3 linked regions of the Nothobranchius furzeri genome follow. The protein of the gene in region 2 purifies or fractionates together with the protein of the main gene of each other region. This does not show direct contact. Links are inferred from orthologs where the notes say so. Each region holds a gene or a part of one and is shown on either strand. Other genes may lie near its edges.

What was found.
Region 1: the proteins of vdac1 (region 2) and atp5f1c fractionate together in Homo sapiens (co-fractionation; 3 studies listed by BioGRID, with this or other methods). This does not show direct contact. The link is inferred for Nothobranchius furzeri from reciprocal best matches to the Homo sapiens genes VDAC1 and ATP5F1C.
Region 3: the proteins of vdac1 (region 2) and rab2a purify together in Homo sapiens (affinity purification with mass spectrometry; 3 studies listed by BioGRID and IntAct, with this or other methods). This does not show direct contact. The link is inferred for Nothobranchius furzeri from reciprocal best matches to the Homo sapiens genes VDAC1 and RAB2A.

The regions. Positions count from the first base shown.
Region 1 is NC_091741.1:35,930,888-35,935,251, reverse strand, and holds the start of atp5f1c (ATP synthase subunit gamma, mitochondrial), read right to left. Parts: upstream 2,925-4,364; 5' UTR 2,831-2,924; coding exon 2,790-2,830; intron 2,447-2,789; coding exon 2,412-2,446; intron 1,615-2,411; exon of another isoform or gene 1,385-1,614; intron 818-1,384; exon of another isoform or gene 743-817; intron 173-742; coding exon 41-172; intron 1-40. Other genes in the region: kin (DNA/RNA-binding protein KIN17), read left to right, coding at 3,563-3,676, 3,774-3,868, 3,956-3,999, 4,069-4,191.
Region 2 is NC_091750.1:59,851,083-59,854,733, forward strand, and holds part of vdac1 (non-selective voltage-gated ion channel VDAC1), read right to left. Parts: intron 2,767-3,651; coding exon 2,614-2,766; intron 2,501-2,613; coding exon 2,448-2,500; intron 2,330-2,447; coding exon 2,102-2,329; intron 1,099-2,101; coding exon 948-1,098; intron 223-947; coding exon 165-222; intron 1-164. UniProt on the Homo sapiens protein: Non-selective voltage-gated ion channel that mediates the transport of anions and cations through the mitochondrion outer membrane and plasma membrane.
Region 3 is NC_091751.1:59,004,503-59,008,820, forward strand, and holds the start of rab2a (ras-related protein Rab-2A), read right to left. Parts: upstream 2,848-4,318; 5' UTR 2,675-2,847; coding exon 2,629-2,674; intron 1-2,628.

The sequences.
Region 1 (4,364 bases), on a different chromosome or scaffold from region 2:
CCCCGATTCATTTTCACTCGAAGTTCAAATGAAGACGTACCCAGAGCGCCAGTGCCGTAGACGCGTGCGGGTTTCAGCTGCTTCTCAGCACGAGCGTACTTGGCAGCGGCCACCATCTTCATGGACTTCGTGATCTTCTGGATGTTCTTGATGGACTTCAACCGAATGGTGACTAAAGAAAATGAGGAAGGAGTTTACAGCAGAAAAGTCTAAAGCTGCAGTTGGTGCATCTCTGCTCGACATAATGGTCTCCAACCAATAAAATAACTCCTAGTTCCGCAGATTTAAACTAATTATCGGATCTGACAACATACTAGAGCTGAAACAACTAATCGATTTAATCGATTATAATCGATTATTAAAATAGTTAACAACTTTTTTAGTCATCGATTAGTTGTTTAATAATCATATTTTACCGCATAAAGTCTATTTTTTACCACAATCTGACATCGGTTACAATCTGTTAAATTTGCCGCCAGTGTGTGGCAGTAATGAGCCACTGATCTACCAGTGGGGCCGTAGAAGAAGAAATTAGCCAATAAGTGCCCTCGGTTTTCATGACGTATCACGTTACTGACGCGCATCTTGCTGTGAGAGATGGCGGATCAACAACAAATACGGAAGAAAAATAGAAGCGACAAAACAAGAGAAACCCCGGACAAAAACCTCACGAGTATGGGAGCACTTCACTAGATGCCTTGAAAAGACCGGTGACCTGCAAAATATGCAAAAACCATGGCACGACGGAAGCACGACGTCCCTAAGTGAACATTTGAGATGAAAACATGTGGGAGCTGATGCAGCAGAGGAAAGTCCGGTAAGTAACAGAAAATAAACAAGCTAACGCAGATCACATTTGGGACTTAGTGTTAGCTGAGTTCGTTATAGTGGATGTTAAACATGTTTTTTTTTTTTTGCCGCGTCAGTCTACGGTGTTCTACTTCTGATTGACTAGATGCAATCGTGAATCTCCTCCGTGTTGTGAATCATGCGCTTGCCAAATTTAGCACGTCTGTTTATAAGAATGTTCTCGTTAAGAGAAAAACGGCACAAACCCATAACTGTGTTCCTCATTCAAAAAAGGACAACTCCGCGGAGAAAAATATACAGACGAGCTGTGTCCAGGTGAATATAACGCGGCATAGTTGTACGCTTTCAATTTTTAAATACAGGAGAAATTCAGAAAGTCCTTTTTTTAACTATTAAAAGGCTGTTTTACTATCTAACGCTGTAAAACGCCTCACAACACATTTTTGTCAAAATAAATGATCACTGTATATTGTTAATTAATTCAAATAATGTAATATTGATTTAGTGTTGTAGTGTGTGTGCTGCTTTATTTTATATGTGTACTTAATTCAGTTTATTTGTGTTTCTTATGCAGAAAAAAAACAAGCAACGATGGACAACTACATGGGGAACAAGACACTCACCCCCAGCAATGCATACCACTTACAAACTCTATTCCAGATTCTACATTATTTTTTATGGAATTTACCTCTTATATTTTGATGCCAAAAAATTATTCTGGACTGATATTTTGCACTGTTTAGCTCATTTTACACTGCTGACTGTGGTCATGTGCAATAAAATAGATTGCAGTCAACTGCACAATTCTCTTATGTTTTTCTTTTTCTTAACTGAAATGTATTCATCACTTGTATAGGTTAAATAGCTTAACAATAACAAACCGATTAATCGATTAATCGAAAAAATAATCGACAGATTAATCGATTATGAAAATAATCGTTAGTTGCAGCCCTACAACATACCTCCATTATTTTTATTATGATTCTACAGCATAGGGTCTAAGAATTTCTCCAAACTCAATCCTGATGGGAGAACCTTGTTTTGCACACTCACTCCGTGACTGGACCGGCAGGTTCTGGTAGCAGCTCTTCTCTGCTTTTATAGCAGCCGTATCTGACCAGCTTTTGCTAATGTGGAAAATCAGTTGATGCCTGCGTGCATTCTTAAATAATTCCTGCATGTGAAAACGACTTTTGATTTAGTTCTGTTCCTTGATAGGCCCGTGCATTTTAATTGACATCTGCATTAATTGTAGTGTAATAAAAATAAAATATCCCATAATTTATATTCACATTAATATACACTGATTTATGCATGTAAAAATAAAAAGGAGCTGTATCATAAATCATAGAACCCCTAAAATTAATATTTGACACATTTATGTTTAATTCTTTTTTTAAATCCTTTGTAAATATACTAATCTGAGCTCCCAATATGCATAAAATCAAGTGTGAACGTCTTACTAACTCGACTTGAACCCACTATTTTGATAAAACCTATTAAAACCTGTGTTGTACAAACACACCTTAGATTCTGCTCAGGTTACAGTCTTAATTTAAACAACAATATGATGTGAGTGTGAAGTATTCATCAGTACTTACTGTCCTTCAAGGTAGCCATGTTCCTGACCTGCCCACTGTAAACAACAATAATGCATGTGAGCAGACGCTGACGGGTTAACAACATGGTAAAAGGTCATTAACAAGTCTAGGGTTATGACCCGATGCTAACTGCTGTTAATTAAACACGATTTAACATTAAACAGGCAGCTATGCTAGCATTAGCACCTAGCCGGCTATGGAAATCCATTCGCACCGCCGTCATTCATCAGCCGCGGCCTACATGCTAGCACGTCCTTCCACGCAAAAGATTGCCCGCGTTACAACGTAGAAGCTGCCCACTCACTTCAAACAAGCCAAATCAATGAATTCATTAATAAAAGCGCAACAAGAGCAGTTGTCGAGGTATATTTGCGTTACCATTGTGGGGAAAAAACCAACGCGCTGGTCCTGGCGAACATGTTACCACTATGAAGGTCAGACACGCAGAACTGCGCAGGCGCAAAGAAAAGTCGGTGGTAACGGAGGTTGCCTTCAGTGAACTCTGGAAATTGTATTCACATCAAAATTCAAGGGAAATGCCGTAAGAAGCCTTTTTTAAATCACTGTTTTTGTGTGTTTTTTTTTTTGTTGCCAGTGTCGCACAATGAGAAGTTCAATAACTTCAATAATAAAAGCGAACATAATTATCAAAAAGCTATGTTCATTTCATTTTCACAAACAGTTATAGAAAGTCATTTGCCTTTTAAACAGGAAAACGTTTAGCCAAGTGAACTAGACCAAATTCATATATACAGGATAGCTTGCCATGCTAGAAAAATGTTTGGAATGTCTAGTAGAAATTAATCCTTGGTCTCAGACTGATTAACCTGTAAAGTTTACATTAATTTAAATTGAATTAATAAATGCTTGTTTTTTGGTGACTCAAATGTGGCGTCTATTGAATCCGATTAATTAATCATACAAATTTCAGTTACAACGAGTTTAAATGATATACGTAATTAATATTATTTAAAAATTACGAACAGTTCTTGAATGTTACACCAAGTATCGCGTGATTCTACGGTTTTTCGCGAGGTTAGAAGACGGAAACGGTTTGTCAGTTGTGTACTAGCAGCAGTTGATTGTTCTGTCGAATTTTTAGCCTTTAAGCGAGTGTTTTTTGCTGCAGTTGTTTGGTTTTAGTTTTCGCCATGGGAAAAGCAGATTTTCTGTCGCCGAAGGCCATTAGCAACCGAATAAAATCTAAAGGTCTCCAGAAGTTGCGGTGGTATTGTCAGATGTGTCAGAAACAGTGTCGAGATGAGGTGGGATTTTGATGAAATTCGACAAAAATGGTGTTATTCTCGATAATGGACGAATTAAAGTATTTGTTTCTGCCTTTTTTATTTATTTGTTTAACAGAATGGCTTCAAGTGCCACTGCATGTCAGAGTCCCATCAGAGACAGCTGCTGCTAGCTTCAGAGAACCCTATGAAGTTCATGGACTACTTCTCAGAGTCAGTTTATCACAGACGTGATGTAAAGACAAACACATCTGAATGTTTTTAGTAAAATGGAGCACATTTGTGTCGCTTCTCTTACAGTGAGTTCAAACGTGACTTCTTGGAGCTGCTCAGAAGGCGTTTCGGTGAGAATTGTGAACCATCTGCAGATGTGTCAGGGACATCTTTGTTCTGATTGTCCTCTTCGTTATCAGGAACCAAGAGAGTTCACAACAACATTGTCTACAACGAGTACATCAGCCACCGGGAGCATGTCCACATGAACTCCACGCAGTGGGAAACTCTCACCGACTTCACCAAATGGCTCGGCAGAGAAGGTAAAACGTCACTGATCAGAAAGCATCTGGGATTTTACAGGATCTCTGTCCACTTTCTGGATTTTTGTCTCCGTTACAGATGCTGTAAAAACAGGCAGAAATGAGGAAAAGAGACCAAGAAGTTGGGATTTGTAAATAAAATTCTCTGAACTGAAAATCAGACGGACAACTTT
Region 2 (3,651 bases):
GTATGTCAGAAAATTTCTGCAAATCTTCCCTCAACTTCCGGTACTGGAAATAATATCAGTATGATTGTAGCCTAAACTGTCATATAGGTGCATCCCTACAATAAAACATTGATCGGTGTGAACTCAGTGCATTTAGGCGTATTGTCTTTAAATGACCAACTCACCTGGCTTCAGAGTCTGAGTGTAGCCCAGTCCCACAAGGCTGGAGTTGTTCACCTTAGCCTGTGAAAAGATTGATCATTAAAGTAGAGAATCTACTGAAGGCCATGATGGCCTAAAGCCTGGATCCCATAGATGTCACCAAGCAAAGGGCTTCCTCTGACATCATGCTACACCAGGCTTTCAACACTTTATTCCATGAGAACTGCTGGCAATTTTTTTTTATGTTTTTCCACAATGGTGATGACATTTATCACCTAAAAGCTTCTTTTAAAGAATGTTTTGGGCTAAAAACAGATTTTTTATGTAAATGCCAACATTAAATATATTCTAAAGCTTCTTATCTTCTTTCAAAACAGTTAAAAAAATCATCTGTTTGTAAAGAACTTTGATTAAAACGTGAAAGGCTTTAAGAGAGCTACAGCTCTAATTCCTACATTTATTAAAATATTTTCATTAATTTCTATTATTTAGTTGCAATTTGAATTAATACCAGTAAACAGATAAAAACGAATACAACGTCAGTCCAATACGGCCCCAGTAATCAACCAGTCACACTAATGGGCTTGGCTACAAGGGGGATTTACCACTAATGTGATGAACAGGCCAAAATTAGCAAAGGGCTGTTTTACTTGAATGAAGTTGAAGCTTACAGTCGTCTCACCCAGCATGGGACCCAGACACCACTAGACCTACAAACTGTGGTGCACTTTAATTCAACTTGTTAATAGGGTTAGGGGTGGACTGCATCGCCATTGCTACTGCCACTTCAAAGACAGGCTACTCACGGAGAAAGATGCATCGGGATCGATTTGATACTTGGCAGCAATTCCAAAGCGGGTGTTGCTGTTTCCAGCAGTCCAGGCCAGGTTCACAGCTGTCTCCAGCTTTTCATTCACCTTCTGGTAGATGGAACCACCAAACTCTGTGCCATCATTTCTGTGAAACACAGCCGTTTGTGACTAATGTTATTAGATTATGATACAGATATGTTATTTGGAATGATCATGCAAGCTTAAAAAATATATATATGAAGTAGGGATGTGTGTTTTTGAAATTCTGGCGATACGATACATATCACGATACAGGGGAAATTATACGATATATCACGATATATTGCGATACATTCAGTCAAACGTTACAAGCAATTATTTTTACTGAACTTATTGTAAGAATGTTCAATAAACAGTTCAAACTGATACGTAACATGTTTAACATGAGGTATCTAAACCATGATGGAGGGATTTACATTTCAATGGTGGAAACAAAACCCGCTGCACACTGCTGCCAACTAGCAGTTGGCGATTGAATTGCGCAAAACGAAAAGAAAATACACAAATGTTTGCATGTAAATTCTTTCAGGAATTAGATACACGGCTTTTGAATATCGATGTAATAATCGCAGGAAAAAATATCACGATATATTGCCATATCGATATTTCCAATACACTGCTTTTGAATATCGATATAATATTGCTGGGAAAATATCACGATATATTGCCATATCGATATTCTCTTACATCCCTAATATGAAGCTCCAAAATCTTAGAATGTGCATATCGGTCCTGCTTCCATCAGTGATGGCACATCCAACTGAAGTGTTCAGCCTCATGAAAAGCCTACGTTAACCTTTGTCTGACCTCACATTACCGCTTCTGCTGCAGACTGTAACTGACAGGCTTTACCTGGGGGGCACAGCAGGAACAAGCCCCAATCCGTTCCGCTCCCTGTCTGACACCACACCCCTCTGTCCTTTCACAGCAAACCACTTCTATCTCCTATCATCACTATGAAGAGTAAAAAACCCTGGCATTTGACAGAAAGCTGAACGGGCAGCAAGGAGAAACTTCAAACCAAAGTTATAGAAAAGCCTGTATGCAGTTTAAAAATGCATTATGTATTGTGCACACGTGTGCTGGTGGTTGAACATGCTGCATCTTACACATTTGTATGCAGCTGGAACTCATCGGTCTTGTATCCAACAGCAAAGTTGCTCTGGGTGATCTTGTTCCTGCCGGCCTCAAAGGTCGTCTGGTAACCGGCGAGCCAGCCCTCGTAGCATATCACGCCAGCGCCGTGAATGGCTGTACCGTTAATGTCATAGTTGACGTCGCAGCCCAGGTTGATGTGTTCACACTTGTAGCCTGTCTTGAACTTGCCACCTTTCTTGCTGGTGGCATGTTTGGGGTACAAAAGAACAAAAATAAATAAATAATAACTCAACCCTTCATGATAATGTACTTAAAGGATGGATTCGCCGTTAGAATAGTTGTGACTAAAGTCATTACCCAGTATTTGGAGAGAAAGAGGACTCAAACGTAAGCTTCAGCCCTTTAGTCAACTGTCGGACAAACAGGAAATGAAGCCAAAACTGAGAATGTGCCACAGTGTAGACAGAAAAACTATAATACAAATCACTGTTTGGAAACTCCTAATCCATTTTCACCACATCACCTGGTCCTCAACGGTGATCTCCGTCCCCAGAGTGTTGTCCGTGTTCCATTTCTCTGTGAAGGTGAGTCCATGCTCAGACCACTTGTATTTGGTCTCCAACGACCCGCCGACCTTGCTTGTCTCAGTGTTGGCAGAGCATGCGCTGGCAAACTCCTGCAGAACATGATAACCCATCATTCCTGCACAAATACCTACAAGCTCAGTGCTTAAAAAGTCAAAACCTCCTGTTACTGTTTCTCAACCAAAGCATTAAAATAAGATATTAAATTAGCTGGGAATAAAGAAGTTACTAAAAATAAAAAAGGCCAACGCTTTAATTTCAGATGTCTAGAACCACTAATGTGCAATGACATTTTCATTTGACATCAAACGTGCAGTACTAAGATTATACAGACATATTTGTTTTGTTATTTCAAAGGTTTGTAGTTAAAATGCAATTAACCAGTGTTAGGAAAGGTACTTTTAAAAAGTAATTAGTTTTAGTTACTAATTACTTTGTCAAAAAAGTAACTCAGTTACTGAGTTAAGAGATTATAAAAGTAACTAATTACCAAGAAAAATAACTACTTAGTTACTTTTTTCATTAAAGGATGCAAGAAAAATGGGTTAATTGAACTTAATTTACTATAAATTGCTACAATAGTGAAATATAAATGACTAATGACTGGAACATAATAAAATGTATGTCTAAATGTTTTTTATAAACCTGAATAATTTAAATAGGCACTTAACAGGAGGAACTACAAATAGGAACATTACACTTATCTAGACTAATAAAAGGTCACGGTGTGATATTTAACAAGACCCCAATCAGCTAAAATTTAAAATTGCAAATAGAAACACCTGTAAAGGTTCCCAGGCCTTTAAATGGTCTCTCAGTCTAGTTAAATTACAGAAATGAATGTAATTTTGCACAGCATTTTAATTTTTCCAGCTTCACATAATTGTGTGTTTTTAGTAGCATTTCTGTTGCTGCTAATCTAGTAACGGTTAAATAAATAAATAAATAAAATCCTTTAAAATGACACTAGAAGAGGC
Region 3 (4,318 bases), on a different chromosome or scaffold from region 2:
TTAGCAGCCTGTGATGACACCTGGTTCTGCTCACTATAGGAGCAGCTTCAGATATTAAATAAATAAATACATCTAATAATAATGTACCGAAAATTAATCAAGCCGAGCCCTTCAAAACACTGAACTGAACCGAATACAAGTTTAGTGTACCGTTACACTCCTAATAAGAACTGAGAGTATGTGGCACAAACATACTTGTAACCAAGCTAGGAGCCTGGCTACAGCTCAACACAACATTCAGTACTAGAAATAAACAACATCCCCAACATGATCCTGTTTTGCAAGATGCCTGTAATAAATATGCAGCCCACCAAAGGGGTTAATTAATGACCTACAATGGTTTTACATTTGTGTGAGAGAAAGCAGGGAGAGAAATCTTCCCTCTAGATGTATAACTTTTACAATTTTATTATTTTCTACATAATCACTGGTCTAATCGGTGCCCTCATTGAAAAAGAAGAAGAAAAAGAAAGTATCATTTCTATAGCGTCTCTCAAGATAAAAGTCACGAGGCGCTTCACAAAAACAAAAAATGTAAAAATATAAAAAAGAATTTAGAAAATGGTTAAAAATATATTTAAAATTAGCAAATAATAGACAATTGTGATTAAAAAAATGTAAAGAGAGAGAGTGAATAGGAAAGAGGGAAATCAGTGGATCCTGAGGAAGGTGGAATAGGTGGGGAGAGCAGAATAAAGAGAGAGTGGTGAAGAAGGTCATACAAAAGCCAGCTTGAACAAGTGAGTCTTCAGCTGCTTTTTAAAGGAGACCACTGAGTCCACTGATCTCAGGCTCAGGGGGAGAGAGTTCCAGAGTCTGGGGCCACAGCAGCAAATGATCTGTCACCTTTGGTCTTTAGCCTGGTGCGCTGCACAACCAGTAGGCTTTGATCACTGGACCTCAGGGACCTGCTGGGGGTGTAGGGACTAAGAATATCACCAATGTACGATGGTGCTTGTCCATGTAAGGCCCTATAGACCAGAACCAGGATCTTGAAATGAACCCTGAAGTTGACTGGCAGCCAGTGAAGCTGGAGGAGAAGCGGGGTGATGTGGGTGTGTTTGGAGGACTTGGTCAGAAGCCGAGCACAAGCATTCTGAACCACCTGCAGACGGTTGAGGGAGGTTCTTCTCAGACACGTGAAAATAGAGTTACAGAAGTCTAAGCGTGAGGAGATGAAGGTGTGTATAACTGTCTCAAATTCAGATCGGGACAGAATGGGACTCAGCTTAGCAATGTTCCTGAGATGGAAGAAGGAAGAGTCTCTGACTTTGGGAACCAGCTTGTCTGGGGCACAGATGAGGATCTCAGTCTTATCTTCATTCAGCTGTAGAAAGCTCCCATATCCAGGTTTTGATAGAGTCTAAGCAGGTGTGTAACAGCTGCAGCTTAGACATCTCATGGGACTTAAAGGAGATGTACAGTTGGATGTCATCTGCATAAAGATGGTAGGAGACTCCTTTGAAGAAGCTCAGGATGTGCTAAAGAGGAAGCAGATAGAGGAGGAAGAGCAGAGGCCCAAGCACAGAACCTTGTGGGACACCATGGGTAAGAGAGGTGGTGGAGGACCTAAACTTGGAGACGGCCACAGAAAAGGAGCGCTCAGAAAGATAAGAGGAGATCCACTCCAGAGCAGTTCCTGATAGGCCTACCCAGTCTCTCAGCCTCTCCACTAGCAGGTGATGGTCAACGGTGTCAAAGGCTGCAGTCAGGTCCAGCAGGACCAGAACAGAACAGTCCCCTGCATCACCGTGAGTCAGAAGGTCATTAGAGACCCTATTATATATATATATAAAATATAAAATATTAAAAAGTAAAATTGACTGCTTTAGACGGAATATCTCCAATTTCTTTGATGTGAATGATCCTGAGCCCTTTTGTTTTACTTTACTGCCATCAAACCAGTCAGCTAGTCTGACAATGATGCTACATCTTAATAAAACAGCGGTATTTGTAATGCACCTGCTGTCATCCCGCAAGTTAACTCAACAGGCCCCTCATCAGAGCATCCTAGTAAAAGTGAATTGAGGCTATTATCTCTTAATCACTGGACATGTTTAGGAAACAACACCTTACAAATTCACACAGCCTCGTAAAATATAAACGTCGTGTTAACAGGAGACATTGGATCAAGTCTGAGATTTCTACGCCATTTCAGGCTACATCCGAGGCTTTAGGCCTAAAGCTAAGCTAATGGTAACAGTGTTATTGACGATGGGTGGCTCTATAACGCAAACATGCTTTTGAGGCCTGTATGTATGGACACAGATTAGGATGTTAATTTGATGTCGTGACAGGTGTTGGGTGGACATTGACTGGTTTGGTTAGCAAGCTGAGGCTAACACCCCCACCCTACACGTCAATGGACAAAAGGCCAAAACATCTAACAGTATGTCCACAACGGCTACATTATAGTGTGGACGGGAAAAATCGTGACTGAACTCCTCTTTTACTGTTCTGATACCGCCAGTGAGAATTTTTGAAGTAAACAGGTAACTTATTGGGGAAGAATTAGAGCTGTCATCCCACCCCTTGCGTCTCTGCTTTTCCCACGTCATTGGACTATCCAACACTGCGGAAATACGCCGCTAGCAGCTAAATACTAGCTAAACGCTAACTGCAGCTTACCCGTGTCCCCGATGATGATGTATTTGAAGAGATATGCATACGCCATGGCCTCTAGGGTTTGCAGTCAGCTGTCTCAACCGTTACACCTTCGTAAAACCAAGTGCGAACCGTCTAAGAAGAGTGTCTGACAGCTCGTTAGCCTGTTTTTCTGTGTCGGTTCTCAGGAAGGAACAATAAACAGCAAGAGTCTCGGCTCAACGTCATACGGTCCGCCCCCGCCACGCTACAGAATGATGCGTTCATGTTCAGCTCGAAAACTCAAAGGTGTATTTCATTACAATGACAGATGTGGAAATGAATATTAGAGTGCTAACTACTGGCTCTGTCGTCATTGCACAGATTTCGCTGTGTCTTAAAAAAGTACATTTTGATCTATTGACGCATAGGTTCAATCCATGCAAAAATATTCTTTATTTTATTTATTTGCTTTCTTGAACAAGGACAGCACAAGAGACAATTGTTGCATGTAATGGCAATGCAACCGTTGCTTTGCTTTGTACAGAGGTTTTCTAGCCAGAGGCTAATTTGCAAACCTAGTCCTTGGTTTGACTTTTAGATATAATCAAAATAACATCATTTATAACATTTGTCATCTCTCTCTCTCTCTCTCTCTCTCTCTCTCTCTCTCTCTCTCACACACACACACACACACACACACACACACACACACACACACACACACACACACACACGCACGCACGCACGCACACACACACGCACGCACGCACGCACGCACACACACACACACACACACACACACACACAAAGCAGATAAATTAGTTTGACTAAGAAACATCAGTGCTTACAAGTTTGAGTTTGTTTCAGCCACTTTTTTGCCTGGGAGTTAAAAGTTGTAAAGTGTCACAGTTTTTTTGTTGATGGTAGATTGTTCCAGATCTGAGGTTCTTTAAATGAGAACGAGGATTGACCAAATGATGTTTTGTATTTTGGTGTTTTACAGTCTCTGTTGGCTACTCCTCTGGTTGTAGCTCCTGTGTTGCTGGCTTTTATAATCAATCTGCTCACCAGCTCTAGGACATATATTGTATATGAAGCCGGCAGGCTGGAGCACTCATGTAAATAACACACACACGCACACGCACACGCACACATTAAACATATATATAAATACACACACACCATAGACACACACATATATACAATTACAACAACCCAGGATTCTGTAGTTATAAAATATAGACCTAAATTTACTTTTTAATAATGTAAAATTGTTTATTTAGACATATATGTGTTTATGATCCATGAAAACTTAATGTGTTAAAAGAAATGACCACTAGATGGCAGAGTGGTTGTCTGACTGGAAAAAGGATTCAAACCCGGGAGACGGCAGGAAAAGATGGCGCAGCGTCCTGGCGATCTTTCCTCTGAAGTAAGTAAAAGTTGAACCTGCACGCTTTGCACTCCGGTTATAATGAGACAGCTATTATTTTTGACCATTTCAAACGTTTTATAGGTCTGACAGCCAGATTCATACACTGTCCTTATTTCTGTGTTAGCAGGCGCTAACGTCTGTGTGAGCTAAGCTAGGTTAGCCATTTCAAGCTGTTGTGAACATAGATATGAAACTAGAATAGTATTTGTGCGCTGTAAGATGAACAGAATTATTCAGTTGTACTGCCAAACTTGCATTTGAATTTGTTCAGGTGACATCAAGGGCATAAAAGCTGCT